3 linked regions of the Lonchura striata genome follow. The protein of the gene in region 1 purifies or fractionates together with the protein of each later gene. This does not show direct contact. Links are inferred from orthologs where the notes say so. Each region holds a gene or a part of one and is shown in the gene's direction. Other genes may lie near its edges. The genes, in order: CTNNA1, TES and CDH5.

What was found.
Region 2: the proteins of CTNNA1 (region 1) and TES purify together in Homo sapiens (affinity purification with mass spectrometry; 3 studies listed by BioGRID and IntAct, with this or other methods). This does not show direct contact. The link is inferred for Lonchura striata from reciprocal best matches to the Homo sapiens genes CTNNA1 and TES.
Region 3: the proteins of CTNNA1 (region 1) and CDH5 purify together in Homo sapiens (affinity purification with western blotting; 4 studies listed by BioGRID and IntAct, counting the BioPlex papers as one, with this or other methods). This does not show direct contact. The link is inferred for Lonchura striata from reciprocal best matches to the Homo sapiens genes CTNNA1 and CDH5.

The regions. Positions count from the first base shown.
Region 1 is NC_134617.1:16,847,828-16,858,565, reverse strand, and holds the start of CTNNA1 (catenin alpha-1), read left to right. Parts: upstream 1-6,616; 5' UTR 6,617-6,725; intron 6,726-10,738. UniProt on the Homo sapiens protein: Associates with the cytoplasmic domain of a variety of cadherins. The association of catenins to cadherins produces a complex which is linked to the actin filament network, and which seems to be of primary importance for cadherins cell-adhesion properties.
Region 2 is NC_134607.1:34,802,310-34,813,105, reverse strand, and holds the start of TES (testin), read left to right. Parts: upstream 1-6,684; 5' UTR 6,685-6,736; coding exon 6,737-6,763; intron 6,764-10,796. UniProt on the Homo sapiens protein: Scaffold protein that may play a role in cell adhesion, cell spreading and in the reorganization of the actin cytoskeleton. Plays a role in the regulation of cell proliferation. May act as a tumor suppressor. Inhibits tumor cell growth.
Region 3 is NC_134615.1:2,277,460-2,287,818, forward strand, and holds the start of CDH5 (cadherin-5), read left to right. Parts: upstream 1-6,394; 5' UTR 6,395-6,608; intron 6,609-10,359. UniProt on the Homo sapiens protein: Cadherins are calcium-dependent cell adhesion proteins. They preferentially interact with themselves in a homophilic manner in connecting cells; cadherins may thus contribute to the sorting of heterogeneous cell types.

The DNA.
Region 1 (10,738 bases):
CCTGATGGAGAGGTGAGGTGGAGTTTCACATTTCTGCCTCTGTGTCAAATGTGCAGAAATAAATCCTCTGGAGAGCTGAGGGCGATTGCTCAGAGGCCTGGGAAAGCCCCAGACACACCGTGTAGGAGACATCACTGAACCCAGCAGGATACTTCATAAAGTCAGAGTTCTCTCTTCCTCCCTCACATAAGAAAGAGCAGAGATCAGCAGAAAAAAGTTGCTGGGTGTGATGTTCCTGCTCTTGCTACAGTACCACAGGAGGTGAGATTTTATCCTGGTTAAAAGGGATCCTGGTGAAAGGATTTATTCACATCCTGATAGAAAATGCTGCCCCATCCTTCCCCTGCCCCAGGGTACAGACACAGAGAGTGGCCGCTTGTCCATGCTCAAAGATGGGGAGGAAAAGTGTCTTTTCCTTGATGACTTTCCTCCCAGTAATCTCAGCTACTATTTGTAAGGACAGCAGATACCACAGCCTCAGACAAAAGTCTGCTTTTCAAGCAATGATGTCCCTTTTTATAATAAAGGCTGCCAACTCCCAGAAGTGATAGCTCACAAACAATCAGGGAGAGGACAACGGGAATGCTCTTTGAGGTGCTGTGCAGAATAGATCATCCACTGTACAGCAACAAATCAAATTTAGGGAGAAAGAATTTGGAAACAAATTACCAGTAAGATATTTCAAGCTGACAGCAATTTGGAGCAACTTAGGTCTGTCTGGTAAGAACTGTATTCCTTTTATTTCCCTATCAATAGCAGCTACCTTATAAGATTGGTTTCTCATTGATAATTCTGTCTGGAACAGAAACTCCTGAGTACACTTAAGTTGATAACTCTCTCTTTGATCACATTTCAGTAGCAATGCTTTTCACCTTGACGACAGAATTTCTCCCTTTGGATGAAGTTTCCATGCCTAAAAAGCCACATGGGTGTGGGATTTCCAGGCTCAGGGAGCTCTGGCGCACTGCAGTGCTTGGACTCGGGGCTGGGAACGGCAGGGAGATGAGCCTGGGGCAGGAGCTGCAGGGTTCGGCGCACTCATTTGCTCTGCCTCAGTCTCCCTGATCGTATAACAGTATAGAAACTACTTGTAGGTGTTTGTCTTTATGGGAGAGGGATAATTCATATCTGCTACCGGCACCTCATAATGCTGAAACAAGGATTACGGGTGTTTCTCCGCACAGCTTTGCGTGCCTGGAGGAGCAGTGAGGAGCTGCACATGGCATGTGCGAGTTCAGGTGTTCCCACGGGGAGCACAGGAATGGTGCAGCCACAGGCTCCGTGTGCCCCCACTGCCCTGCACTCAGCGGGCAAAGGGGGCGGGTGCAGCTCGGGTGCCAAGGGGCACGCTGGGGTGGAGGGGCAGTCGGGACTGATCCCACCCTGCACATACAGAATGTGCTGTTCCAGCACTGGGGACTCATCTCGTGCTGACAGCGGCGCTCAATGTGTTAATTACCGAGGGAGGTCATTAATGTCCATCAGCAGGCGGGGAGGGGACAGGACTCGCAGGGAGGAATGTGTTGGGGGTAGACTGGAATGCAGCAGTGCTGACATGCCCGGAGCAGGAGACATAAAAAGAGTGCACTAGCCTGTAATTTCTCTGCAATTTCTCCTCGGGAAGTAATGAAAGTTTACGGCTAGTCGTGGCAATGCCCGTGTCTCTCTTCCAGAAAGAGGCAGATAAAAATAGTTTAGAATCACACTGAGAAAAAGAGAAATTTGACATTCCTTTGAAAACTCTTTGTGGTCAAGTGCTCCCAGCTCACTTTGGCCAAGTACTTAGTAAAGAGGGATGCCAGCTGTGGCTAACAGTCCTTTAGGTTGCCCCCATGAAAGCCAGGCCCTGCTCATCTGCTGAGCAGAGTGATTTGGCTTGTTTAATCTTTAGAAATAAAAATGAAGGGATTTGTGCTGGTCCAGCAAAGCCCTGGCTCCCCTTGAGGGCTGTGTCAGCCTTGGGACAGGAGGGCTCTTTCCTCCTGGTTTTCTCCATTGCCCCACTTGCTCCTTGGGGCTGGTTTTGACCTTGCTGAAGCCTCACACGATCCTGCTGAGCTTTCAGGGAATGTGCGAGGGTTCGGTGCTCCGGATGCAGGGTAAGGTGCTGTCAGCTTGGGGTTTGTTTCCACTCCACTGGCTTCTGCTTTGTGTCTAACATTTGGGAATAAATTATCAGGAGGTGGGAAAGCCTTGATCCAATGATGGTTTCAATTTGTAGCTTAAATTGTGACCTTTTAACACCCCAAATTAAAATCACCCAGCACTTGTTCTGCACTGCATACCTCCTGGATTACAAAAGCAATTGACAGTGTTATTTACTCAAGCAGTGCCTTAGAAACGAAAATCTTTTTGTCTGTTCTCCACAGATATGAAATACTCAGTCACGTAACAGAGGCTGCATTTAACATGAAGAACCTTTTTCCTCTGTGCCCTTGGCTAAGCTCTCACAGTCCCACCTCTACAGGAACCACATTTCAATGGTGCTGTACACCCCTTAGTCTTTACAGCATTTTCGGATCTTTCCAGATGGAAAGTGCCATAAAAATGTAAAATATTATTAATTAAAGGCTGAAATAGATGCAGTGTGTGGAGGTCAGTGACTCATGCAGGAGGATTCTCAGGCTTCTGCTATGCATTGCCTCGGGGTGCTTTTTTGAATGTTCCCTTCTCCGGGGCTATGACAGTTTATTACACAAAGGCTGTGTGAAGCTGGAGGTGAATGCAAACTACTTGGGCTAAGAACAGCAACCAGTGAACCCAGTTCATGCTGAGCCTTTTGGGATGGCATAATTTCCCCTCATTACAGTTTCTGCCTGTTTTTTGCAGGCAGCACGGGCTCTGTGCCACAGCCCCTGTGCTCCTGGCCATGCTGGTGCTATAGACTGCTTCTCTTTCTGGAGGGCCCAGGAGCATTTGACAGTGTAGGAAGGGAGTGTTTCACTTAGGAGCCAGTGGCTTCTTGATTAGGAACTGGGCCATGTTTCTAGCACACAGTTTTCCTTGGAGAGGGTGGCAGTGATGGGGAGCACAGCCCTGGCACCAGGAGCACTGTGGCTGCAGCTCCCAGAGAACCACTGCTGATCCCAGAGGCATTGCAGCATCAACTGGGTCTGATCCCTGCGCTGCCAGCAGTGCCAGGGAGCCCCAGTGTAGCTGCAGGTGTACTGGTAAATCCCTTCTTCTCCTGACTGAGGCTTATTTCAGCAAGGCAGGTGTTGTAATCACAGCTGAGGCTGTGTACCTGCAGTCTCCCCAGAAGCACCACATACCAGCGTTTCCAGAGTCCATTGCATTGCCCCAGAACACTGGAATTTGGTTTCTGGCTGTACACATGCTCATTCCTAGCTGGATACTGCAAGACAATCTTAGCTCTTTATGTGTCTGAGCCCTGAAAAGAAATGGTGTTGTCTCCCAGCTGCATGGAATACTGAGATGAGCACTGGAGAGCCCCCAGGAGTTGGTGCCAGGCCCTCATTGTTCCTTTGCTACATTCCTGACTTCATCAGAGCCTCCAGTCTTCGAGGGAGGCTGCATTTTGGGTGACTCCTACAGCAAAGCTCACCGGCTGCGAGTCCCTGCCCTGCTCCTGCCTTGCTGGCAGCCCAGGGACAGGAGGTGACAGGGCTGTGCCCGGTGACTGGGTGACTGCTGCTGGCAGTCACACAGCTGGTGGCACAGCACGGCTGCCCTCGAGCTGTCCCCACGGCCCAGCATGACATCAGTGTGCAGAAAGCCTCAACCAGCTGCTAGTTGAACCTGGAGATTCCTTTAGAGTATTTGGAATTTTTCCTCTCTCTCTTGGTTCCTGCTGCCCATTCAGCCCCTCCAGCAGGACCTTCAGCTTACCATTACAACACTGTATTACTTTTCCTCAACTTTATTTCCTTCCTTCTGTCATGCCTCTCAATCCCCTCACCACTTCCTGCTCCAGCAGTCCTGTCTTTGAAACTGCCGTGAGAGGTGCAATGCTTCCATCTTTTGCAAATAACTAAACAAAACCACTTAAAAAACCCCTCCAAAACAAACACAAAACCACAGAGACCAAACAAACATTTTGAAATGGAGCAACTACCCTTCAACAGCATTGTTACAGAAACAGAAAATCCAGTTCCAGATGAGGCACATCATTTAGACCCCGTACACACTGAGACTGGCAGACAGTGGAGCTCCAGCAGGTTGCTAGATAAACAAGCCCCTTCCTACACAGACCCAGCCCAGGATTTACAGGAGAATGCAGCTCCCCTGCAGTGGCTACACCCACACAGTATCTCCAGGTGGCCCTGGCCAGGGATTGCCCTTGTACACACCTAAGGAACAGGGCCAGGCTGCCAGGAGTGTGCAGCCGCCAGCCCCGCTCTGCTCTGGGTACCTTGGATCGTCCTCACTGGACGGGAGCGTTTGTTCATTCTACACAAACAACCTCCCCCAGTATCGGGGTGGCCACCTCGCCTCTCTCCCTGTCCTCTCCCCTGGCTTACCCTGCGTTTTCGCCAGTGAAAAAGGGCAAGAAAAACATTTTAGAAACCACCAGGAAAATGGGATTACAAAATCACAAACACTGTTATGGGAAGATTTGAGGCCAAGCAGAACACTTGTAACTCATTTCAGAAAATGCATTAGATTTCAAGCTGCCAATGACATGGGCCGGATGGGAGGTGTGAGCTACTGTTGCTGGGTGCCTGTCTGAACACTCCCTGCATTTCAGTCTTGTTGACAGAGCCCAGTGCTGTGATTCAGAGAGAGCTGTTAATTAAGAGACAAAGTCCAATCTCAAGCTAGCTGGCTCTATTTTTACATAATTTTATGTTTTGTTTGCTGAGCCTTTTAACTCGCTCCATGAACCAACAGAGCTGCCAGCTGATCTCCTACTTTTCCCTTGACTTTTCAGTGGTGCAGTGCAGAACATGTGATTCTCTACAACTCCAGGCCTTCTACTTTGGAATCTGTAGGTTTAAAAAGGAATTTTTTTTTAATCTGACATTTTGTCCTGAAAGGATGTGAGGCACAGAGAACTGCCGAATGTGGAAGGCACCACAGGAGGCTAAGACATGATATTAAAACGAGTAATGAAAGAAAGCAAGCTATTGAAGTGTAAACTCCCATTTTTACTGAGAGTATGCTACAGACAGAAATGAGTAGTTTGGATCCCTGGTGCAATTGACACCAAATATTAATGGTTTGGTATAAGCAGGAAACACAATGAAATTAAGAAATCTGTTTTCCTCATATTTCCATAAGAGAGTCTGTTTGTTGAGGCACTGAAGACCTGTATTTTTTTTTTAATAACCTGTATCTCAGTCAGTTTCATAATTACAGATCTCACATTCTTTAGACTAATTTCACTCACTGACAAGGCTGGGCTCTTGATCCCTATTTTATTTCTGGATTATAAAACAACAGTACTCTACTTACTTCCTTGTCTTGGATCTCTTTCTTGGATTAAATCTGCAGGAAGGAAAAATGCAATCTAATTCCCCACAGGAGTGTTCCTGCAGGAAAGTTTTGTAGGAATATGGCAGTGATGGGAAACACAGCCCTGCAAATCCCATTGAACCAGCATCTGGAGGAAAGTCACAGTCCTGACCACAGTGTGGTCACCTGTGCTGTGACACTGACCTCGGGCCAGCCCCTCACTCAGTCACATACCTTGAATGAATCTTCCTTGTAGGTTACTCAATCTCTCTATTTTTTGCTTAATAACAAAGGATGGAGTGTGTAGCTTCAGGTATCGCAGAAGTGCTGGCAAATGAGTCATGAAATGTATTCAATTTATTCAGTCGTCTTTACAATCCAGTACAAGTGTAAATTCTGTGGCGAGATTTGTATCAAAAACCATCTCAAAACACACCACAGAAAGTCCCAGAGTAATTTGTCACTCTCTCACACAAAATGCTCACTGAGACTTTTCAAAGAAAACTTTAAAACAAATTGCCACATAAAGACAACTTTCTCCACCTGCAGACCTGCCTCTGCAGGTCAAGGTTAAGTTTGCAAAACCTTCCTCTCTTCTTAGAGGGGTGCCTGTGGCGTGCTTGTACCCTGGGATTTCCTCTCACCTGTAGTCTTGTTATTAGAGACATCTGGATGAAAACAAGGTGTTTCCTAAAAGCAGCAGCTCTCTGGAGGGTGAAAATATCTGGGTTTTTCAAAACAAAACACCAATACAGAAACCCAGGGGGAACCCATAACTTTCCCTGTTTCCTTCAAACCCCCTACGTCCATCACTTCCCCTCTCTCCAAAGACCCTCGGTAAGTTGCGCTTAGGAGGACAAGGCCAGATATTGACGTCGAATTTGTTGATTCTGCCTCAAAAGTGCCATCCTAAGAGCCTGGGCTGGGGGCGGCCAGGGGAGGGCTGCGAAGGGAGGCTGCCCGTGGGCGCACGGGGCGAGGGGGACAGGGAGCTGAGCCAGGCTCCCTGCAGGGCTGGGCGGTTTGGAGGTGCCTGCCCGGGGTGAGGGGACCCCCCGTCCTGCCCGGGGTGAGGGGGTCCCGCCGTGCCCCGCCCGGCCCGGCCCGGCCCGGCCCGGCCCCGCCGTCCCTCACCTGCGGGCGGGCGGCGCCGGCAGGGCGCGGGGGCGGCGCGGCGGGCGGTGCCGGGAAGAGCGGCCGGGCCGGGCGGGGAGGCGCCGGAAGAGCCCATTTCCTCCGCGGGACGGGACAAAGCGGCGGGGCCGAGCGCAGCCGGGGCGGCCGCACCATCCCAGCCCAGCTCTGCCCCGGTAAAGTTGCGGCTCTCGCACTTGGAAACTTTCGGGCGCCAGCCGGGCCGTGCTGCCGCGGGGCTGGGGCGGGGGGCAGAGGGCGGGAGCGGAGCGGGCCGCGCGCGGGGAGGGAGCCGGGCCCGGCTGTGGCGGCGGCGCTGCCCCGAGCGGCGGGGCCCGCGTGGGAGCGGGCGGGCCCGCGGTGCTGGGGGCCGCCAGCGCGTTCCGCCGGGGGAGCCGCGCGGCCGGGCCGCTCCCGGCGAAGTTTCGGTGCGGCGGGGCGGTGTCCCGGCCCCTCCCCGCGCGGCCGGGGCCGCCCTGGCGCCGCTCCCCGGCTGCGCTAGGGCCGGCGCGGCCGGCAGCCCTGGCAGCGCTCCGTGCCGTTCGGCCCGCGGTCTGCCCGGGCGGCGCGGCCGAGGCCGCATCGAGCCCTCCTCCAGCCCCGGCCGTGCTGCTGATCCCGTGCACGGACAGCCGGGAACACCCCGCGGCCCCACCTGGCTCCGCCACGTTTTCTGACACCCACCGCTAATCCCCTCCTCTGCTGGAGGGCGTGGGCCTCTCCTTCGCTGACAGAAAGTTTCGTGCTACTTTTTCCCAGACAAAAAGCAGGAAGAGCGCATCCGCTCCCGGGTTATGTGCGGCCCCTGCGTCTGCTGCCTGTGGCCCTGGGTTCCCTGGGTAGCGTGGGTCACCCGCCTGTTATTCATTGCTCCTGCCAGTTCAAAACGCCTAAAATCCTTCAGACTGAAAGTTTGCAGCAAAGTGTGTGTTCCAGTTATGTTTAGTGACGAGTCAGATGTGAGCAAGGCACGGCTCCCTGTCTGTGTGCCCTTGGCTCGCCAGCCGTGCCCGGGAGGTGGCTTCTGGCGAGGGTCATCGATCGCTGCGAGCCCCATGACCGCGTCCTCAGCACAGCATTCCGAGTTGTGACTCCAGGCGTGTCTGGACTATCTGTATTGAACTAGTCTGGGAGCTCTTTGCTGCTCTTCCCCCTTCGTTTGGCTTTGTCTATTGTTTTTTTGGGATGGGAGTTGTGCAGAAGGTGTTTTCTGGGTGCTTCAGTCACTTGTGCTCTAGTTAATGGTTTCCTGTGTTTTTGCTGCACTGGGTCTGGGGAGGTGGGAGAGGCTACACTCCTCAGTCCTGCTGGCTACGCCAGGTTCTGGGATTGTTTATGTCAGTTCCTGGGTTGGTTTGTAGGCAGGATTGTGTTGATGAAGGTGAAAGCCCAGCTCATTTTACGCTAGATGTAGCCTTTGCTCTGTCTCGGGGCAGCAAGGCCACATTAAGTGTTTTGTTGTTGTACTTATTTCACCCTTCTGAATCGAAACATGTTGTTTGAAAGGACATACTTTGATGTTGAGTCACTGTTCATCATTTTCAAAGAAGCAATTTCTAAAACATCACGGAAATGTTTTGACTTTTCTCAGCAGAAACAAAGGTTTAGTAGGTTTTGTTTTTAGAAAGGCTTTGCCCTAACCTTTTCCATAACAAACAATGTGCCTTCAGTCTTTACAGTTTTTTTTCAGCCAGCTCTAATAATAGGCCTCTGCATCGGAGATTTAAAGTTTACACAAGGTGGCTGGGGGAAGCGCAGTGGGCAGAGATTAGAAATCCCATGCTCAAATCGATGCTTTAAAATACAAATGTAAATACTTTCCTCACAGTTGATTTTCAGGCTTTGAAACATCAGCATTTCTGTGCTGATATGTGTCAGGACAGACCTTAAGGTGCGGCTTCTTCGTAGGGCTTCTGTTGGTCTAATAAATTTAACCGGAAGATGTAACAGAAGAGTAATCTGTGTTTTTTCAGCAGCATGAATATCTTCTTTCTGCAGCTGTAAGATACAGAAACTGATCTTGCAAAGGAATCCAGATTAAGCAGAACTGTTTATGAGCTGGAAATACACTTTTGTGGGACTTCAGGCCTGCCTTGAATTTACATCTGCTGTTACTGTTTGATTTCTAAATGACCTTTCTTATGCAGAGAATTAGCTAAGATCACAAAAATACTGAGTGGCCAAACCAGCCTGCTCGTCATAGGTGGGCAGTGGGGCTGCTCTGGAGCAAAGGCCCACGTGGCTGTGGTGCTTCTGTTCAGGACTTGCTGGGTTCTGTTTTACTGGTTTCTCTTAGCTTTGCTGGACACCAAAGGAAACGTGATGAATTAAAGAGGACTGAGTGTCACTTTGTTAGGACAGCACCTTATGAGACAGTCACTCAGCATAATGATGAGTCACAGACTGGTTTGGGTTGAAAGAGACCTTAAATCTCTGGTTCCATTCTGCTGCCATGGGCAGGGGCACCTTCCTGGGACACCTGCAGGGAAACCCTGCACCTGCTCTGAGCCCTTCTACCCTGGCCTTGGATGCTTCCTGGGATGGGGCTTCCTGCTGTTGTGCCTTAACTGACATCACTCAAAAGCTTGTGCTGCAGAACTTCAGTGTTGAGAGTATGACCTTGAGGAATGGGATCCGTTACTGCTCTGGGAATTCACCCGAACTGTTCTACAGCTAATCTGGAATAGCTCCATTCAGTGAGTTTATAGCTGCTCTGTTGGTTAAACAGCATTGCAGCTTTAGAGAAAGTGCAGATGTTTGATAATTACTACTTTTAACTCCATACTATTTTAATCCAGAAAATGAGATTTAAAATAGAGCTACCACAAAATTGTATGCTAGCACCCTGACTGGATGAGCTCCTCTGGAAAGACAAGCTGTGAGAGTGGCCTGCTGTTTCACGAAGGAGAACTGGGTGCAGATGGATTTACTGGGGTGAAGGAGTTGCAGGAGGAATGAGGTCACTGCAACTGGAAGTGGGATTGTTCTCCTCTAGTGACTGAGACTCCTTATCTGCTAGTCAGGGTGAGAATGGGTGTAACTGTGATTTCTGGTGTGCAGAAGGTTAGTCCAGACTATCTGATACTTAAATATGATTCATAATGCCTTGTGACTGATGGATTTAAAGAGCTAGCTACCTTTTCTCTCAATATGATTACATATTTTTGCTTGTTAATCCCAGATGTACTACAGAAAACATCTGTTAGTCCTTTGATATGTGATTATAAATATCTCTGGTCGAATTAAAGGAGTAATCTTTTTCCCCATGTTTTGTGAAGTGATAGAAATTATTCAATACACAGATCTAAACTAACACAGTTTGCAAAGTGAAATTCTCCCCCAGTCTGACGTTCCCTTGTGTTACAATTTCTCTAATTTAGAAGACAGCTAGTTATTAATCAGTTAGACTCCCAAGAGCCTCTTCTGAAAGGCTTTAAATTCAGGGATCAATGCCAGTATCCCGGGCTTATCTGAAGCACTGTGGGCAGCAGATCAAGGGCAGGGATTCTCCACCTCCTGTTCAAGTGAGCCCCCAGCTGCAGAGCTGCCCCAGCCCTGTCCCAGCACAGGAGGAGCTGGAGCTGCTGGAGCCAGGCCAGAGGAGGCTCCAGGATGAGCAGAGGATGGAGCAGCTCTGCTGGCAGGAAAGGCTGGCACAGCTGGGATTGTTCACCTGGAGAGGAGGAGGCTCTGTGGAGACCTTAGAACCCCTTCCAGTGCCTAAAGGGACTCCTGAGAGAGCTGGAGAGGTACTTTGGACAAGGGATGGAGGGATAGGACAAGGGGGAACAGCTTCACACTGCCAGTGGGCAAGGATAGATAGGCTATTGGGAAAAATTCTTGGCTATGAGGGTGGGCAGGCCCTGGCACAAGGTGCCTAGAGCAGTTGTGGCTGCCCTTGGATCCCTGGAAGTGTCCAAGGCCAGGTTGGACATGGGAGCTTGGAGCCACTTGGAACAGTGGAAGGTGTCCCTGTCCATGGTGGGAGTGGAATGAGATGAACTTTAAGGTCCCTCCCAAGCCAAACCATTCTCTAATAAACCTAGGAATGGAAAAAGCAAGCATGAGGCCAGCTGTAGCTAAAGGAATAACCATTACCAAGGCAGAGAGTGGAAGAGCACACATGAAGCCAAGCTGGAGGCCAGGTGGTTCTCTGGTAGCTCTGTTTTAGTGCATGGAGTGGCACAAG
Region 2 (10,796 bases), on another chromosome or scaffold:
CTTTGCTGGAGCTCTCTTGCATGGGAAAGAAGCCAAACAAGTGCTCATAACATTATATTGTCAGCAGAGCTATATAGGAAATTAGTTCCATTCCACAGTTTTTTTGAGAGCATAAATAAAAAATGCTCTCGCATTGCATTGGAACAAAACCAAGAGTGTTCCAAGTAAGAAACCTGACAGAAACAGCCTTTATCCTTTATTGAACTAACTACTCCCAGAGTGGAAGTATTCCCCATGGTTACAATCTTTTACTCTGACCTAGGCAAAGCAGCATCAGATACTGCACTTCTGCAAGTCATGTAAATGCCTTAGTCCTAATGAGATGGAATTTTTTTTTTTTTGTGTTCTCTACTGTCATCAAAAATTCCACTCCTAGTATTTGAACTCCTGCAGAAAATTTTGATTTCAAAGAACTGCTCTGTTGTCATGTCAAAATAAAAAACTGTTTGCCATAAAATTTCTAAATAACCACAGTTTTCAAAATTTTGCCTCTGAATATTGAGTGACCTCTGACATAATTCACAACAAAAAAAATAGATAACTTATTGACTTAGATTAAGTCCATGTAGCTAATAAATAAACATCAAATTTTTGTTCTCTCATCAGATGGAAAATACAAGCATGTAGACAGCTGTTCCAAATCAAAGTATACCTGTTTCTTTTGTCCCAGGGAGCCCAGATCTGGACACAATACTTCCAATAAGGCATTATCAGTGAATATAGGTGAAAGATCACCTCCCTCAACCTGCTGCCCAGGATATGTCTTCTTTGCTGCAAAGGCAAATTGCTAGTGCATGACCAACTTGGTGTCCACCGATACCACCATGTCCTTTTCTGCAAAGTTCCTTTTCAGCAGCTCAGCCCCCAGCAGGTAATGGTGCCTGGGGTTGTTTGCCCCAGCTGCAGGACTCTGCAATTCCTGTTGAATTTCAAGAGGTTTCTATCAGCCCATTTCTCCAGCCTGTCCAGATCTCTCAGGTTGGCAGTATTACCCTTTGGTGTGTCTGTCACACCCACCTGTTTTGCATCATCACCAAGCTTACTGTGGATACACTCTGCCCCATCACCCAGTAATGAGGATGCTATTCTCATCTACCAAGCCAGTTATCTCATGGATGCACCTTAGGATCATATCAGGTTGGTTAAGCATGACTTGGTAAATCCATGCTACCTTTGTCCTTTATGTGCCTGGAAATGATTTCTGGGATTAGCTACTCCAGCAAGCACCACAGGGATAAAGGTGAGAGTAACTGGCCTGTAGTTCCCTTGGTCTTCCTTCTCTTGCTTTTTTTGAAGATAGGTGTGTCATTTACTTGTCTCCAGTCTTCAGGCACTTCTCCCAGTCACCATGATGAATCCACAACTATCAACTGGTCTCACAATGGCATCATCCAGCTTTCTTGGCAGTCATGGATACCTCCTATTAGGACCTATAAACTTACCTCAGTTTGTTTGTGTATGCCCTGACCTCACCTTCTTCCATCAAAGGTATGTCTTCTTTGTTTCAGCCCTTCCCACTGGTATCTGGGATTTCTGAAGGCCAGTCTTATTAGTAAAGACTGAGGCAAAATTGGCAATGCCTTTTGCATGTCCCATGTCACCAGGGCCACTTCCCCATTCAGCAGCATGTCCACACTTCCCCTATTCACTCTTTTGCTACTTGTGTACTCAAGAACTTTACCTTGCTTCATTTGACATCCTTTCTCAGATTTAACTACAAGTGGGCTTTGCCTTTCATAGACATTTCTTTGCATGCCAGACAGTGCCTCAGTATTCCTCTCAGGTCACCCATCCCTGCTTCCACCTTCTATAAACTGTCTTTATATGTTTGAATTTTGCCAGGAGCTCCTTTTTCTTCCATGAATAAAATATGTATGGAAACTTACTATACAATAAGCTTTTCAAAGAAGAAGAAGTGCATCTCTGGTTTTACTTAGTATTTATCTGGTACCACACATTTAATTTCTTATAATTTATAATACATTTTGAGTAGGTGTTTGAGAAGGTGTTGAGTAGGGTTTTTTGCCTAAGTAAATTTACCTCATTAGAGATTTAATAATGCAGGAACCTTCTTCAGGTTGTAACTATACATGCTGTGACTGGGATTGAAAACCAGAGAGGAAATAAAAGACTTAGCTCCCTTCTCCAGTACATAACTTCTGAGTTATATCCAATAATTGACTTAGAAACCTAAAAGTGACATGTTTAGTTTCTATGCTAGGGGACCTAAAGAACATAGAGATCATGGAGCAGTTCCAAAACTCAGAACAGACTCCAAGCCATGAAGTATACTAAGCAGAAAAGAAATTATAGTCAGCAAACAGCTGTCTCCCAACTTAGCTGAATCACCTACACTTGATAGAAAATATCTCTGCTTGTTAGGAAACAGAGACTCCTTCTATCCCAATTCTTTCAAAGGAAAGAGCACAGCTTACTCTTTCCTTATAGAAGAAGTTTTTCTTTTATTGTTTTCTCCCCTTCTCTTAATGCTCCTAAAACTGCCCACAAATGGGCAAGTACAAGTTCCTGGTTGAAGGAAGATTTGATTTTCCTAGCAAGTGTCATAATAATCAAGCTACACCACATTTTTCTACCATTTTGCTTTGGCACTGTTCCAAGAACTGAAAAGTCACAGGGACAGTCAGAGAACAAGAAAGAGTGTGACTGTAGCCTGTGTTAAGGGTTGTTTGGATAACAAGCCCTCATCTGTATAAGTTTCCCCAACATCTGGCCAATGTAGGCCTTGAGACTGCATAGGCCCATAGACAGATCCACTCCGTCACTGCTTCAGGGAGCAATTTTTCTTTTCTGTACAGTGGAACTACTTTAAAAGCATACTACAAAGTCTGGTAGCTAGTCCACAGTCCTAACAGATGGAAGCTGTAGTTTGACTCCCATCATGCTGATGAAATCTTAAGACTTTGTATTCTGCCTTGGGGAAAGGTTCAATATCTACTCAGGCCTTATGGAAAAAGTGGGGCACAGCCTCTTTCTATATTCTTTTAAAAAGGCAATAGGTGTTACCAAACTTTACAAGGTTCTTAAATCAGCCTCTATTTCATGCATGGTCTGAAACTTCCTAACATAATAAGCCTCTCTGTAGAATGAAATACAGTGAAGTTTAGTTTCTAGATTTAGAATGGATGAAGCATGGAACAATTATCAAAATTACTGTTCCAATATTAACACTTACAGCATCTGAAATCTGAGACAGCAAAAACCAAAATAATTAAAGTACAACAGAAAACCATGTATATGCTTACCTGGTAAGAAGATAATCAGTAATGCCTCCAGACTTACAGCTTTTGATCTCTGCACCCAAATTCCCTTCTGGGTTTTTATTGGACCTGCCACAAGACATTTCATGTAACATTATTTTAATCAAATGGATATAAAAAGGCAAATGTTATTCCCTTCTCAAACTGAAATGCTTTTTTAAAACTAAATTAGTGTGTTAAGCCACTCTGAAGCAAGACAGACTCTTTATATTTATATCACACTTCAGATTATATTTACAGAAAAATATCTTAAAAGCACAGTGGCATTTCTTCTAACATATAAAGCACTGAGAAAACAGCAAAACTAGAAGAATTTAACTGGAAGTTAGTCTCTTGAGAAGTTTAAACAGAAGAACTGTTTATTAAATAACAGCTTTACTGGAAACAAATTTTCAGCATTGCTAAGTTATGATGCCTTCCGTCTGAGGATGGGCATATAAATCACATATATAATCTACATATCTAATGTTTGGAGAAATGTAGTTACATTCATCATTATGGTATCTGAGTGCAAAGAAAACTGTAAAAGCAGGAAAATTTTCTGATAGACCATCCACTCCCTGCAGTCCTTGTTCCCAGAAATGTATATTAGTATATACATTTAAGTATTAGCCTTTTCCCATCTTCTGCCTGTTGGCTTCATGAACATTGCTGTGGGAAAGTTAGTGCTGGTATAAATCATGCTCTTTCCTTAGAAAATAATAGTATTTAAAAGAGATATTGGATATTTCCCAGAGAGTTATAATAAAGCCCAGCTCTGTGCCCTTAGCATATCAATGTTGTTCTCCTGGCAACTTCAGAATCTTTAAGTGGGAGTCATACAGGATCAAATTCACGCAGTAGGAAATTATTTCTGCCAGGCAAATTAAAGCCATAGAAAACACAGAAAACAGTTACAATCTTAAAATGCATTCTTTATTGATCCAGGTCTCAGAGAATGTGTGTTCCATCAGCAACTTGCTGGTTTGCAAACCAGAAGTTTTATATTACTGCCTGCATTTTCCATTAGACACATGAATCTGTAGGCTTCATTATATGAATTTGAAGTTGTTAAAAGATTACTACATTTTGGCACTAGATGACACAACTGAAATATGCACAAATCACAACCAGAGCATCTCCAACTCAAGAAGTTTAGGAAAAATATAAGCAAATTAATTTATTATTAACTGAACAGTATTAAAGCTTAGTAGGGAAAAAAAAGAAAAATTACATTGTCAAAACCATTATTATGCTATTATACCTAGAGAGATAAGTATAAGCAAAAACTTAAACCATACAATATTTTCTTTCACTTCTTTTTTTTTTTTTCCTAGAATGAAAATATGCTTCTACATCCATTCTCGAATGAAAAGCATATAATGATGACTATGATGGTTTCATTTCTCTGCTTAGTATGGTTAAAACTACCTATCTAATCTTTGTAATTGCTAGCATTCGAGGGCACATTTACTGAACAGGAATGATCTCCTTACTCCTTTGACCACAGTGAGGAAGTTATGAGGCTTGATGGTGTTCAAACTATAGGGTTCCAGGTACACCAACATAAGGCACCCTTAACTTCCCCTTGTCTTTCAACCCCCAAACCACCAGGAATTAACCACTAAACCAAAAAAAAAAAAAAAAAAAAAAAAACCACCAAAAAAAAAAAATACCAGAGTGAGAACCAGAAATGAAAACCAAAATGTCAAACCCAACTAAACCAAATACATGCAACAGTTCCTATTGTTCACCTCTGTAAGGGAGACACACACTAAATACAGCAGCATTACTTGGTGGACCATGTTCTCTCATTTTTTCTAATGATACAGCTTGAGCTCACCCTCCCAGTTTTTTACTGGACTTCTTGGCCAAGATCTGCTGAATAGATTTACCTGTAGGAGCTGTTGGCCCATGGCATACAGCACCATGCCAGTCCTAGCAGAAAAGTCAGTTTTGCTTTTATCTGCTAACAGACAACAAACAGACCTGGTCTAATGTTTGCTTTGTTGCAAACATCTTTCAACAAGTGGTGTCAGACAAAAAAATTAAACGCTGAAATATAAGTATCTCTGGCCTCTGGGGAAGAAACAAAATTACCTAATATCTACATGACAAAAGCTGGTCATTGTGGAGACAAAACACTAGATTGTGCAAATGAATGAAAAAATTATCAAATTTTTCACTATCACTTCCTAGGGCTATAAAGTCTATTAATGTTTGCTACTTTTTCCAAAAATAAAATAAATATGAAACATTAAAATATTTATGGAAGTATTCAGTCTTGCAAATGCTTCATTTTTCTGTCATTTTGCATTAGGTATACATTATAGGTAAAATAAAATTTATATTATCAGTGGTATCCCAGGACTGAATATACGCTAAAGTGTTTGAAGACTGGGATCAGTCTTAACTTTTTTTCCGGCAGGCAGGTAGGTGGAGTCTGGGACCCAGCCCTTGCGGACACGGCCCTGCCCGGGAAGTCGCTGGGAATTCGGGAGCAGTCTCGGCCTGGCGGGCACGGTCGGACCTTGTACCCTGCCACCTCCAGCTCCTCCTTCAGTCAATAAATTGTCAGGAAATCATCTAGTCCAATTTCCTTGACAAGGCAGGGTCACGTAGAGAAAGCGGCACAGGAACGTGGCCAGGTGGGATGTCTCCAGTGAGAGAGACTCCAGGACCTCCCTGGGCAGCCTGTTCCCGTGCTCTGTCATCCTCAATGTGGAAAAGTTCTTCCTTACGTTGAGGTGAAACTTTTTGTGTTGCAGTTTATAGCCCTTGCTCCTCGTTCTGTCACTGGGCACCGCTGAGAAGAGCCTGGCAGGATCCAGCTGACAGCCGCCTTTGAGATATTTATATGCATTCATGTGATCCCCTCTCAGTGGTCTCTAGACTAAACAGGCCCAGCTGCTGCAGTCTCTCCTCATTAAAGAGATGCTCCAGACCCCAGATGATCTTTGTGGCCCCCCACTGGACCCTCTCCAGCAGCTCTTTGTCTCTCTTGTGCTGAGGAGCCCAGAACTCAGCACAGCGCTCCAGATGTGCCTGACAGGGCCGAGTAGAGGGGCAGGACCACCTGCTGGCCATCCCGATGCACCCCAGGTTACCACTGGCCCTCTTGGCCTCAAGGGCACATTCGCATTATAGCCCGAGATCTCCTCTTTCCTCACGGCTCGGGACACTCCGCGTTTGCAGGGCTCTGTACCCGAAGGTGAGGCTGCACCAGCGCCGCCGCGCCGGCACCCCCGCCCCGCCGGGGCTGACTCACGGCCGGCCCGGGCGGGGCGGCAGGGATTGGCTGGCGGGCCGGGCGGGGCGGCGGGGATTGGCTGGCGGGCCGGCGGCGGCCGGCGGGGATTGGCTGCCGCGCCGCCTTTGTTCGGCTGCAGCCAGTGCCGCAGGGCAGCGGAAGTTTGAGCGCCGCGGAGCGCGCGAGCGGAGCCTCCTCCGCGGGGGCGCCTCACAGCCGGAGCCCCGCCATGAACCTGGAGAAGAAAGTGAAGAAGGTGAGGAGGGCTGCCCGCCGGGATGTCTGCCGCGCACGCCGGTGTCCGCTCTATGGGCACTGGAGCCCCCGCGGGGACTGCGCCGGGGTGGCCCTGGTGCCGGGATCAGCCCCGCCCGGCCCCGCGGCGGAGGCGGGAGGCGGGCGAGCCGGCTGCCGGTGCCCGGGGCGCACGGCTGGGCTGCCCCGCTGCTCCGCCGCAGCTGCTGCCCCAGGCGGGGCCCTACCGCTGTTCTGTCTGCGAGTTAAACGTGTTCAGTCCCCACAGTAAACCCCTGAGATCTGATAGTTGTTTTCATGTGTGTGCGCGCTGTGTATGTAGGCATGAAACTTAAATTACAAGCGGACAAGTCGCTGTTTGTAGTTATGTTAGTGATTAATTTCAGACCTATGATGTGACTGACTCCTTACAAGTTTGTTATCAGCGTTCCTATGGGTTACCCCCTTGAGCGAGAAGCCTGGACTTGATTTTTCTTTATTTTTAAAGGTATATTGACTAGTTAGTTGCGTCAAATCGGCAAGAAACAAAAGGTAAGTAGAAGAAATTGATAGGTAATCCAATTGTATTGAATTTCTTTCCAAAACTAACCATTTAAAACTTCCTATGTAAAACTGACTTGCCGTGGGATACTCTTATAAGTCTTTGCTTCTAGTTCTATCACAAATTAAATGTAGTGCTAAATCACTGACTTTTATAAAAATAAAAACTTACTTGTAGTATCTGTTTTGATACTCTTTGATAAGGGGAAAAGCACCTTTATATGTGAACATGGGTTAAATATATGCAAAACCGTAATTGATATGTGAAAAGTAGTCTTTTGAGGGGTTTATTCTTGAGTTGTTTTATTTACAGGTAGCAACTTGTTTTAAAATACACGTATGCACTTTTGTATACCTGTGTGCTTTTCCAACTTGCAGGCTAGAAACTGACTTGGGGGTGGAAGTAGTTGTGTAGTGTGGAAAGCGACCTGTTAGGGCTGAATCCTAGCAGCGGGTGGCCTTGAGTTACAGCTTGCTTCAAGTGATGTCACCACGTGATAGTGTCACTTGGGTGAGGATCTTGCTTTGGAGGAACTGCCTGTCTCAACCCCCAGTCATTGGGCCATCAGCGTATAGGAGGGTGTAGCTAAGTACTGTTGCTGTCTTTAGAAGATAGTTGTTCCCCTTATGTGACTCTTTGTATGCAATGAAAATAAGCCTCTTGAGTAGATTTGCTTGTATTTTCTAAGCTTGTATTTTCTAAGTCCATTCTTCATTTTTGAGCTTCTGTATTGTCTCTTTGGAAAGCTGCTACATACATTTATATCTACATGTCTAGGTTTTGTGTGAAGAAAAGAACACTCAAAGTCTGTTTTCATTGTTGATATTAGGTTTCGTGGGTTTTTTTCTCCAAATGTAACAGCTCTATCACAGTCTGTCTGATTGGAATTGCTTCCCTCCAGTACAAGACCAGTAGGATTCCAGTTCTTCTAACTACTGCCCTACCTGCCACAATTTCTAAGCCATCCTTTCAGCAGTGGATACCTTATATACTTTCTGTCTCATGACAGAAAAGCAGCAGTCCTGTTTAATGTACCCTTCTTAAGGAATCTTCAGGGCACAATTACTTTGGCTCAGACTTTTAATTTATTTTCTGTTTGGTTTCTTTCATGCATGGTAAAAGTAGCCAAAGGAACGATTAGTGCTGTGTAGCCAGATACCTCACTTGGTCTGAATCCTAGACTCTGGGCAGCCACAGCCTGCCAGAAACAGAAATTTCAGCATGCACTTGAGCATACTGAGCAATATATATGCAGAACCTATGCAAATGTGTGGTCATGTAAATTTTGTAGTCAGTTCACTGTGCTTTTTAGAGCTATTAAGTAACTGGCAAACATCTAGGCAGTGAATAGTGTCTTTTTGGCTGTCTTGTGAATACTAAGACTTTCCTGGTCTGTTACAATTTAGGGAAAACTGTACAGTTTTCTCCTTTTTTGTAGGGGGAGTTATATTTGCTCTTGCATTTAAGGATCATGACAACAGTGTTTGTATGAAGTGATTGCACAGCAGAGCTGAAGGGTAAGAACAGGAGCTCCAGCTTGAAAAGTACTCGTGCAAAAAACAGACCACTGTTTCTCCCAGATACAATATATGCTGTGTTCTCAAACGTTGCTTTGAGGCTATAGGGAAAATAAATAAAGATTTAATGCTTTGTGTTGAATACTCTAGCAGAACCTTGTTCTAACAGCCTGGATTACTGCCCTGTCTGCCACCTCTGTGAACTTGGTAAAATGAATCAGTAGGTCACGGTCCTGCTTTTCAGCCCTGCTGGCAGCATGGTCTCATGCTTCGCTAGAGAAAATAAGAATCTGGCAGTGAGTCTGTTCTATATAAACTTTAACAGTATAATACTTGCTTTATAAAAGGAAACTTTGCTTGCAATGGAGAAGGGGCAGGGCAGTTTGGGTGGAAGAGGTGCAACTTCTCTAGTGTGGAGTTTGTGTGGTTATTTTTCAACTTAGTTTGTTCTGTTACAGTTGGAAAACCAAACACTGCGTGCTTTAGACATTGCTAAGTCAACAACTGTAATGATCCTTGATAAATGAATGGTGAATGAAGTATGTATAGGAGCAAAGGAAACTTTTCTGTGTTTTGCAAAGCATGATTTAGTAATGTCTGCTAGGCTGCACTTCCTGTTGAGGTCAGTGTTTGTTTTGGTGTTACTGCTTTGGAAACCCATTATAGTAGATAGTTTTTTGCTGTTTCATATGTATAGTAACATCAAGGAAATATACTTTTATTCAGGGGTGAATTTTGCCTGAAAGTGGAAGAATGAAAACATTTATGTAGATATGAAAGGAACTACTTCAGTTTTGTTCACAAGGAAACTAAGTAACTGCTTCCTGCGTATGCTGTGGGGTTTGAGGGTTCCCCCCCCACCCCCCATCAACATTAAAAAAAAAAGTGAATAATTTTTTGGATCACCTGTCTGTATCCACACCTCTAGATTTTTTTTCCAGCATCCCTCGATAGTAGCTTGGCAAATATGGCACAGCTAAACTAAACTTTTTGACTCTTACTCTTTTTTTCCAATGGCAAAAGTATTCCCCAGGTGTCTTGACTATAAAATATCATGAAATGCCCGAGTAGCAAGTCAAGAAACTCTTTGAATGCAGGACTGCATGACTTTTAAGATAAGCTGAAAGTTTATTCGATAAGGTATAATTATAAACCAAGTATTTTGTAGCAAGGGGGAAAATTAACTTACCTTGAGTTACAGTATTCTGTCATAAAAGTTACAAAAATCTGATTCTGCAGTTGTTCCTGGAAAAAAAAGAAATGTTTCTACTTTCCTCTAAGTAAGTAATAGTGAGTAGCAATTTTCAATGAAATTTTATTGGTAAAAGTTGCTTAAAATTACTTTCTATATTTGAAGAAAGTATGCCGAACCTGTCATGCGAATTACTATCATCTTCCTAGCAGATACAAAGTTTACAGTTGTAAGGGTGTAGATGCAAATATCTATAATGTAGTATATTTTAAAATTGTATTTTACAATCTAAATAGATACATGTTTCATTCATGTAAAACTAATTCTTATGTGTATTGGTTGTGTATATATATATATGCATGGGTCTTTTTCTAGGTAAGTATATGTACAAAATGCCCTAATACATAGTTTTTGCTGATGACCAAAGTTGGTGGGGTTCTTTAGGTTCTGGAGACTTTCAGGAAGAGCAGAGCTGCTAAGATGAAGGCATGTTACACCTGTTACCTAGCATCTCAAATTTGGTCAAATTAACAGGTAAAAAGAGTCAGGAGGCTTCTGTCATGACATTTCCAGAATACACCAGATCTAACTGTACTCCAGTACTGCTATGTATGTGTTTCTGGTTTTGTTGGGGAATTTTTGGTAGTTTAAAAGTCTGCCTAACTCTTTATTTGTGCCTGGTTTTCAGTCTGAGGTTGTCTAGCTACAGCTTTTAAAAGCTGAAAAAAAGCATGCTCTTTCCTGCATGACTAAAGCTCCTAAAAAATTAATCTGTAGGTTTCCA
Region 3 (10,359 bases), on another chromosome or scaffold:
CTGAGCTTCAGAGCACAGGAGCAGCCACAAAACCTGGGTTTGAGGGAAGGGCAAGGCCAAGGTCTGGGTCAGAGCTGCTCTGGCTGAGCTGCCCCATCGTCCTGAATTCATGTTCCATCACTCTGGTTTAACCTCAGGAGCTCTTCAGAGAAGGCTCTGAGTTATTCTGCAGTATAAATTACATTAATTACCAGCCCTTTTATTTCATAGGTACTCAAAGCCCATTTAAAAATATTGCACTCAGTGTGCAAATAATACATAAAAGGTGTGCGGTTTTGAAAAGCAAGTGTTTTACAATTATGCTTTCTCTTCAAAACATATTGTTAAAGTTAAATCAGCATAATTTTCTGCTGCATTAAACTGGGGACAAGTCAAAATGGCTGCAAGTCTGCTTGAAGTAATTCACAAACATTGCTCTTTCCTCTTTTTTTGCTGTAAATATATCTTTTTAGAATAAGTTAATTTTGCGACATATTTTTTCAGGAGCAGTCAGGAAGACAGATCCTAGCAGAGCTGTTCATGTACAATTCTTGCAAATTAGCAAGATCAATCATCTTCCTTTTCTCTGAATTTCCAATATTAATGTAAATCCTGAGAAGTCAAAGCAAGGATTAACTGCATTAAATTTTCCATTGTGCTTTTAAATATACATATTCTCTCCTTGGAGATTCTGTTTGGATGTTAGGAACCAGCTCTTGTTCTTTTTAATCTCTGTGAAAGTGCACAGGGATGGGCGTAAGCATTTATACGGTCAAGATGAAATATCAGCAAAAGGAAACCGTCCAAGGCAGATATATTTCAATATGAATCATTAATTCCTAAAGCTTGCATTTTTTCATTATTCATTACCCATTTTTCATCCTGCATTACTCCCTCAGCTTGCAGAGCTGCAGTGAGATCCTCACAGCTCAGAAGTGCTGGTGTGTGGCTGGGGGAGCAGCCCCACACCTCAAACTGAGCAATTCACAGGTAAAGAGAAGATTAAAAAACATATTTCCACTGCCCTGCAAACATCAGTCACTGAAATCTGGCATTTTATAGACTGAACCCTCCAAGGTCTGTGACTGGTTTCCCTGACTATTTGCAGGGTATACCCTCATGCCAAAATTCCAAACAACAATACCCAAACCCTAATACTCACATTTCCATCTGATTTTCACTTCTATGCTTGACAGCTAGGAATCTATTGATTCAATTATAAACATAGCATTAAGAATCAAATGCTATTTTATCAGTTCTAGGGAAAGCCTGAAATCTTTATATTCCACATTTCACTGCAACAGCTAAATTCAGACCAGCACAAATCAGAGCAGCTTCACTGCAGAGGGGACAGAGCCTGCAGAGTTTAAAGGCAGAGCCTGCCTGCTGTAGCCTGCACACAGATGGTTGGGGGCAGAAATCCATCCTGACTGGTTTCCAAGCCAGGAGGAGTTCTCACACATCCACTCAGTGGCTAAAGAGGCACAGTGCCCACTGCAGCACAGACACAATGCACAGGGGGTGGCAGCAGGACTCTGAAACCATCTGCACTTGCACAGGGCTTGGCAGCAAGAGCTGGACTGGCAGCCTGGGCCTGGGGTGTGATAAAGGGAATGTAATAAATGAGTAAAAGTCACTGAACCAATTTACAAGGCATTAGTGCCTTGGCTCTCACACTTCAGCCCCTCGGCAAGGATTCATCCAGAGCAGTTCTCTCCACTCTGCTTTTGGCAAGTGCTCAGTTCCTCCAACAGCTTTGCAGAAAGCACATCACCTCCAAAAGCTTTGGAGAAGGCACATCACCTCCAAAAGCTTTGGAGAAGGCACATCACGTCCTTTCCTTGCCCCATGGGCCTTTGAGCAACACAAAACCCATCTGGAACCCAGTGTCCTCAGGAGAAGGGTGGCAGCAGCCTGGGAGGGGGGTCCTTGTGGTCCATGTGGAGAGCAGTTGGAGTTTAAAGCTGGGCTGCTTCAACAACCAGAGTTCATGAATGAAAGGTGACAATTTTCGTTGTTTTTTTTTAAGGAACAGATTGCCTTGGTTTTGGTTTCTATTTTAAGGGTCATTCAAATTAAAATAGGTATGTTCTTCAGGTGAAAAAAAAAATCACTGAAATTGAAGATTGTTTATCAAAAACATTTGTGGAAGATTTTTTATCAGTTTCACACCTCTACACTTGACCTGCTCTTCCAACTGGAATCACGTGTAAAGGTTAGTGTGCTAGAGTTAGCCTGCAGGCTTGTTGTTCCAAACCCCTGTGGATTGTGTCTTCAGTGAGCACATCAAAGGGATTCATGATTCCTTCCTTCAGCTCACTGGTGACGCAGTTCCATTTTATGGCTTCTGCTCAGGCTGTTATAAAGTTTTAGTACAATACGGGTGCATTTTGTACCATCTATTCTTTCCTGGCATTTCCAAACAAGGCAACAATATCATTTGGGACCATTCCCTGCTGAGCATTGTATTAATTAAGTCCTTGATACTTATGAAGCCAGAGGTCTCATTAAGGAGGATGGGACTGACCCTTGCAGGAGAGATCTGCTGTAGTGAAATGAGTGTGGTACAGCCAGAACAGTGCTCTGGAAAACACCTCAGCAGATGTTATCACACCTCCCCAGCAAGCACCCAATTCCACCAGCTTTCACTGAAATTCTTCAGCAGTTTGGGTTTTTTTTAATTCACCTTAAATTAAAAACAAATCAGAGCTACATTGCTTTGTTTAAAAAACCTGACAAGAGGAAGCCGAGTCAGAGTGACTCCAGGATGCGCACCTCAGGCTGTGACAGAAAGGAAACCAGTGACCAAGTGGAAATGACTGAGAGCACTGCACTGCCCTGATTAAAGGCCCAGAAATAACAACACAAGGTACTGCAGAGATTGTGCCTTCCACACGGAGCAGGAATTGTTATTTTTTAACCTTCAGGTAATGGCCCTTCCAGAGAGGCTGCGGACATCCGTCAGATGCAATTGCACATTTCAGATGGGAGGGATTTTGCACTGATTAGCTGAGCTGCTGGAAATTAGCATTTGGGGTTTATTTTTGTAACTGGGAGCCTGTGCTCTCCCCCACCCTATTTTCTAACTGGTCAGAAAAATCCTGGCACAGTATCAGTGCTGTGACTGAATTCCCAGCCTTGGCACACCTTCCCTTGCGCAGCGCCTGTAACGTGCTGGGTTTAGCAGGACAGACTACTGAATCTAACTTTTATAACTGTTACAAAAACATTCCTGGGCTGTACTTGCAAGGGTAAAACCCTTCCCTAGTGAGAGTCAGATAGCAGGATGAGAATTAAAAATTAGTTGCAGCTGTGTCAATAGCTGCCTTTGGTTTTGATAACTGTGCTTATCAAGAAGGGCTTATTTATCATATGGAATTTCACCATAACTCAAATTACTTGAAGAAAAGGGAAGAAAACTCTTACTTAGTGAAAAGTACAGGGACACTTTGTCCACTTTGCAAGGACTTGTGCTGGTTAGGAAAGCAATGAACTTGTTCCTACAACTATGTTTTCCATGAATTCTTTGAGAACTTTCCAGAGCACTGATCAGATGAGACAGTGAACAAGCAACACAGTGCAAACCTGAAACCAGCTGTAAGCACGAGTCAGCCTGCCCTGCTAGGAACACAGCAAGTAGAGAAACTGGAGCTCCTGATCATTAGATCAATCTCCTCATCAACAGATAAAATCTAATTCTGAAGAAAGGTGCTTTAATCTCACATTCATTCTGTGCACTTATCAACCCAGTAACTTACACAAACCCCCCAAGGGTGTCTGTGCACAGCTAGCACAGATTTAACAGATTTAATGTGGTGAGTGAGGGCTGGGTTTCTGCCCATTATAACACAGTCCTCTCAGCAGTAGCAAGATGACAGCTATTGCTTCAGATTCCCAGGAATGTCAAATCCAAACTATGCAAAGCATCTGTAAAGCAAAGTTGAGTTCCACCCCATCATTCAAGAGAGGAAGGACTATTTTAAACTTTACTAGTCTGGCAAATGGCTCAGTCTGCATTTCAATAACACAGGCTGAACTCAAAGTTTCACAGAAAGACATGCTGATCTAAACCAGACATACCTGACCCAGGTGCCACAGAGCCCCAGAGCAGCAGCTAATGAACATCTGTGGGAAAAGCACTGGAAAGAAGCAAATGATCAGTAAGGGCAGCTGGATATAGCATGGAAGAAAACTCATACAGCAGAGCTGAACTGAAAAGGGCTTGATGCCATTTGGAGACAGGAATGGCAGGAATGCACCATGAAATGATGAGTAAATAATTACCACTCCTTTTGTTCTGCCACCATCTCCATCCATGAGTCACACAGACAGTGTGTGCTAATTGATTTTTTACCTGTTCCCTTCAATTCCACCAGCTGGACTGTTAAATAATATTTCATACCCAAAATCACACAATTAAAAGGTAATTATGTCTGCCAATGTTGTCTGATCATGCAAATTATTTTTCTCATTAGCAGAACTTACTGTGAATTAATAATATTTTTGAAGCATTACCCTCTGGCTTGCAAAAGGCATGAGCCACCAAGGAATTTTTCCAAAGTCTTATGATTTGGCCACAATGATAAAATCTGAAAGTCTAAGATCTACAAGAAATCCTGCTTGCCAGCATTTTGTGTCATCAGCTTTAAACCACAGTGCTTTCACTGCCTAGGAGGGACAGCAGGGCAAATGTCTGGGATCAGCCAGAGGGTACAGAGCACCTGAACCTCCAGGAGCTCTGCTGCTGCTGGGAGAGGGCTGCTAGAATTGGTTCTGCTTTCCATAAAATCTCAATGGACCTCTCCTCATAGCCAGAAAGGAAACCTAAACAACCAGTTCAGCAGAGATGGAATCTATAAAGCATCGTTGGAAGGTTTTAGATGGTAAATCAGGTCTCTACAATTTCAATGGAAGTATCTTCCTCTTAAACTTACAGAAGATTTTCGGTTTTCTATCGAGCTCTGATGCAGAGCATGTGAAAAGGCCTTTAGAAACTTTCTCAGTTCTTGCCTTGAACTTTTTGGGGGAGAAGAAGCAAATCAGATAATAGGAAGGTAATTATCAGACATTAAAACAGACCTGGACAACCTGAGCTGTGGCCTCAGGGCACACAGAGAGAGCCCTGGGGTCTCCTCTTTTCCCTCTGAGCAGAGGGATGATTCCCCTCCCTCCTCCTTTCTTGAATGTCACCCTCAGTCCCAGCCTCACACGGGGACATCAGAGGTACAAGGGGCTGGAAATGCAGCTGGAGCCACTTGCAAGGGTAAATCCTATCTGAGCCCCCTGTCTGCTGTGGGCACCTGATTATCAGGGAGCTGCTTCCTGAGCAGAGATCTGCACTTGCCTGGAAAACCCCTATCAGCATCTCCCTGCTCCTCTCCCAGCCGTGACACAGCTTATTTAACAACTCATTTTCCTGCAAGGAAACTGGACTCTCGGGCTCCTTACACAAGACTGAAGAATTTCTCCTTTTTTTTTTTTTTTTTTTTTTTTTTGTAATAATTAATGTAACAAATTCCTTCAGAAGCCATTCATCTTCACTGAAGATGAATGTACACCATGAAAAAGTGAAACAATCTGACCAACCTCAGCCTCCTGGCAAGGCAGGAAATCAATCCCACCACCTGTGCTGGACTGTAATGACAAATTATTTAACTGTGGAATAATATTAAAAATTTAATTCAATAATTAAAATTACTAATGTCATACTTAAGATACATTGAACATTTGCCTGCATTTATTATAAGTGGTTCCAAAGAGTGCATTTTGAGTAAACCCCACACTTCTCAGTTTTCTTCTGCATTACTTAATGAAAAAAATCCTCTTTCATTTGTAGTGCACAATGCCAAGAGCTACACCCTTGTGTTCAGTTTAACACTGAAGCTTCCCCTTCTGAGTGTCCTGAGTGGTCTCCAGACTTAGAATCACCATAATCAAGATGCTATGAACATTTCTTCTTATGAAAGGCCTGCCTACACTGCCTTGCTCCTCTGGTCTTCACTTTACCTGTGAAAAATACTGTGAAATTTCATCTTTACACCCAGCACTGGCAGAGCTTAGCAGGAACCCAGTCTCATTAACAGGAAGGCTCTACCTTTTTGGTTTCCAGGTATAAAAATTCTTATAGGTAGGACACTTCCAAACTGCTTTGAAAGTCCTGTTTATGCAAAGCAGGCATAGTCTGTGCTGATCAGACACTAAAAGTTTCTCTTAGAAATTTGCTACCTCTTAAAATTCTCTCTAAAACGATACCAAATAACAGACCAACTCTGGTGTTTCTCTCAGAGTTTCCTTTTATCCAGGTCCCTCATTAGAGTCAGCAACAAATAAGTAGATAGAGAAATAATAAGGCTAACTTTATCTTGTTTCCTCCACTCCCTTTTCTCACTGCATTAGTAAGACTTGGAACAATAACAGGATGCCGGGATGCAGGATGGGAAAGGCTGACTCCCAGCTGGAAAAGCTTGGAGACTGGAGAGCTGAACACTCCCAGTATTGCTTAACGAAAAGAGAAGTGGATTTTTCTATTTGATCTTCATTTTTTGTATTTTGCTTAACATTTTGGGATACTGTTGGGTTTAGTTTGCCTGATTTGGTACCACACTGAAGCTCTGCCACCTCGGACTCTGGTAAGAGACAAATGTTATTTTCTGTCCTTCAGCCATGAAGTTCATTTCAAAGGGTTTTTTACCTCCACCCAAATTATTTTCTAATGTCTTAAATAAGTTAAGAAATATCAGCAAATGGGCTATGAATTTTATACATGTCCACAAAATCCTTTTGGCGTTACACTGATGGCACCCGCACCAAGTACAAACAGCAGAGCTCTTTACAATTGACACTGCAAGAGGAAAATCTCTGGCTTTGTTGGGCTATAATATTCCCAGGTTATTAAAAAAAAAAAAAAAAGAGAGAGACATTTCATGGGTTTTTTGAGTATTGCTTTGTAATATTTAGATTGTGTTGCCAAAGTTCATCTATAATGAAAAAGAGGTGGAGAATATGCTGGAAAATGCACCTGTAAAGCCTTTAGGAAGGGATTTCCCTACTGGTGTGGGCAGGTGCAGCTCCAGGACTGTTTTCAGTGAGCAGAGGTGTGCTGGGCTGGGATTTGATGCAAATTTTTTATTGAAGTGGGGTGGATTTGGGGTCTGTAAGGTGGGGGGCCTTCCTGTGCCCTGGGCCAAGAGGTGACAGCCACCGTGTGCACTGGCATATCTGTTAAAAACTGGGAAGGGAGTTTATATAAATCCAGGTCAGTGATTTGGTCCTAATTCATAAGTTTAAAGAGTCCCAGGTACTTTAACGCCATAACTCTGGAGTACCAGGTTTTACAGACCCTGTTCTAAAAGACCAGTAATTCTTATTCCAGAGGTTTCTTGATCTCAGTGGTTCAAAAAGACCCATCTTTTTTTTCTGATGGGTTATTTTATGAGCAGTGGCTTGACACAAAAAGTTGTTTGAAAAGGCTTTTATCTTGTCCTAGAGCAGGTGTAGCAGGTCCCTGAACTAACAAGCTTGCTGTGCAGCTTGCAGAGACAAAGCATGTATGCATAAGAGATGAGCTGATAGTGGTTCTTCTCTAAGAAATCTATTCTGCAATAGTGGGACTGTCAGTGTGCACAGCACCTCACCGTGCTGGCTGTCACACTGTAATAAAGATAAAGGAAGGAAAGAAATGCAAGGGGAAAAAAGATATGGAAGAAGATTAATTTCTGTGAGAAAATCTCTTTCATTCTTAGCTCCCAAAAACATTCCAAGTTGGCTGTTTCTGCAGTTAACAAAGGTATAGTTAATCAATGTTTCTCTGCCTCCTGTGAATATAAATCATTAGATCAGCATTTGTAAAAGCACACAGTATTATCGATGATCATGCAGGAAAATATATTAGACAAAAGCAAGGATGCTCCAATGATTTACAAAAGCTTCTCATCTTAGGTTAATGTGTGCCTGGTAACAACAACCCATATACCAGAAACAAATCACAGAAATGCTGACTTGAAATTTATCTCTGATATCTCCAAGAGTTACCTTTTATCCTTAAATAAAAGGTGACCCACAGGAGAAAAGGACATAGGATGCATTTAGCATACGAAAGCCTTAGAATAGTACAGTATGCTAGAGAGAATAATGTGCATTTACAAGTAATAAAACAAATTAATTTGAAAGCAAAGGATAAACTCAATTTAAAAAGTCATTCCTGATTTGCCCACAAAGCCACAAACCTGGGTTATTTTTCAGACTGCTACAGCTGCATTGCAATGCAACAAGAAGCATTTCCCAAAGCTTTGCTCTTTAACAGAAGCCCGTAACAGTGTTCTTTGAACATTTTTAGAATAAATGTTAACACTGAAATTGAGTCCTGGAAGAAGAGCATGTCCCTGAGCAACATGCAGCTTGCAGGATATGGGGCACAGAGGCAGGGCAGAGTTAAAAGCTCTGCTGCCAGCTTTGCCTCACATCCTGCCTCTGCTGAGGGAAACTGGCTGAAAACAGGATTGAGGTAAAAATCACGGGGCATGGTTCAGAAACCATGGTTCAGAAAGTGATTTACAGCAGTTATGGAACAAAGGACTTCACTGTCCCTCATAAATCAACTACTTCAATTAATATTTCAAATTCAAAATAGAAAAACTTTCCTAAAACTCTTGTTTTCTGGGTATGTGTCTACAGAACTACAGGTTTAAATCAGGCCAGTAAATACTTTTTGTTTTCTAAAAGAGCAGAGGTTCACAGAATCAAGATAACTGATTATTTCTGGCAGCTGACCTTTCTGTAAGGAATCGCCATTGTATTTTCATCATAATTCCAGGTTTTGTCAGATTCTACAAGTTTAATTCAGAGGTTCCAATGTTAGTGCCAAGAAGAAAATAAGAGGTTCCCTTTGTGAGAAATTTGTTGGGCATTAAATTACTTTGGTACTTTCTGTTTGTTTGTTTGTTTGTTTGGGGTTGTTTGTTTGTTTGTTTGTTTTTTAATTTGACAAATGGGTTTCCCTTGTTATCTTTGTGAGTTTACAAGCTGAAAACCCCTCAGAGTTTAGCACAGGTGTGAGCGGTTTCCCTTCCTCCCCGGAGCACAGCAGACAGGGATTACTGGGGCAGACTGGAGATCTGCTGGGACAGAGGTGCCCAGCCCACAGCCACCAGAGCAGCTCCCACACAGAGCTTGGTGAGCCCGGAGCTGGACACTCTTTTGAGCCATGGTAAAGGTTTTCTGTGGGTTTCCCTTCAGGGCTCTGCTCTGCCAAGGGCCATGCAGGTGGAGCAAACACAGAAAACAAACCCTCCTGTCAGGGCCAGGTGCCACGGGCTGTGCTGCTTCCAGGGATCCTGCGCCAGAGCCTGGCCCCTGCCAGAGTCCCTGCAAACCCAGGGGTCCCACCAAGCAATGCTGGCACTAAACCTGTGCAAAATGAGGGCATGTTCAGAAATGAAGGCACACCAGTTCAGGAAACTCCCCTGAGCAGCCATCCAGGAGGGACTCAGGCAGCCCCACTCCCACCCCAGACTGTCCCTGCTGGGGCTGGAGCCCCTTCCCAGCCCCAGGAGCCAACAGGTCCCACTTGGCTCCCTGCACACACCCTCTGTCACACCAGGATTCCTTCCCAGTTCCAGCCCAGGTCTCCCATGGCAGAGTCTCAGATATCTCATTCCATAATGCCATTTATTCCCAGCGCAGGAACACAGAGCAGCCCGAGCCGGTGCCTCCCAGGGGGATCCCAGCCAAGGAACCCCTGGGCTTTTATCCCCTCCCAGTTCAAGAGTGCCACAGTCTGGCTCTCCCTGCTGAGCCCTGGGCTCCTGCCACATCCCTGGCTGTGCCACAGCTCCCTGTGCCCTTTGCTGTGCCCCTTTCCTAGGGCTCCAACCATCCCCAGGGCTCTGAGCTGCCCCCAGAGACCTGCTCAGAATTAATTACTCATCACAGCACTGCACCTCCTGAATTCTGCAGTGAGGCTGGCCTTGGAATATGAAAAATTAATAAAAAATTGTGAAGAACCTGTTTACAGTTCCTCAGTGCAGGAATAAAAATTAGCCCATTTCATTTGATTTTCACTCATCTGCATCTGAATTTCAGATCTGTCAATAAGAATGGAACTGGCTGGTTTTTGAATGCAAGCTTTTGCTGAATATGCTAAGTTCTGTCATCTCCTGAAAGGGAAGTTGTTTGTGCCATGGGTCTGATCTGTGCATTGGCTGCTGGACACCTCTGTTGGGCAGGCAGGGAGATTTGGAGCCCAGCCCTCCCAGGTGCTAATTAGGACATTCACAGGACCTGGAGCAGCTGAAGACCTGGGATTTCCAGGGCTGGCAAAGACAGGAGAAGGGCACAAAGGCAACCTATCCCTCCAGGCACTGCCTACACTTCAGTTTTGGT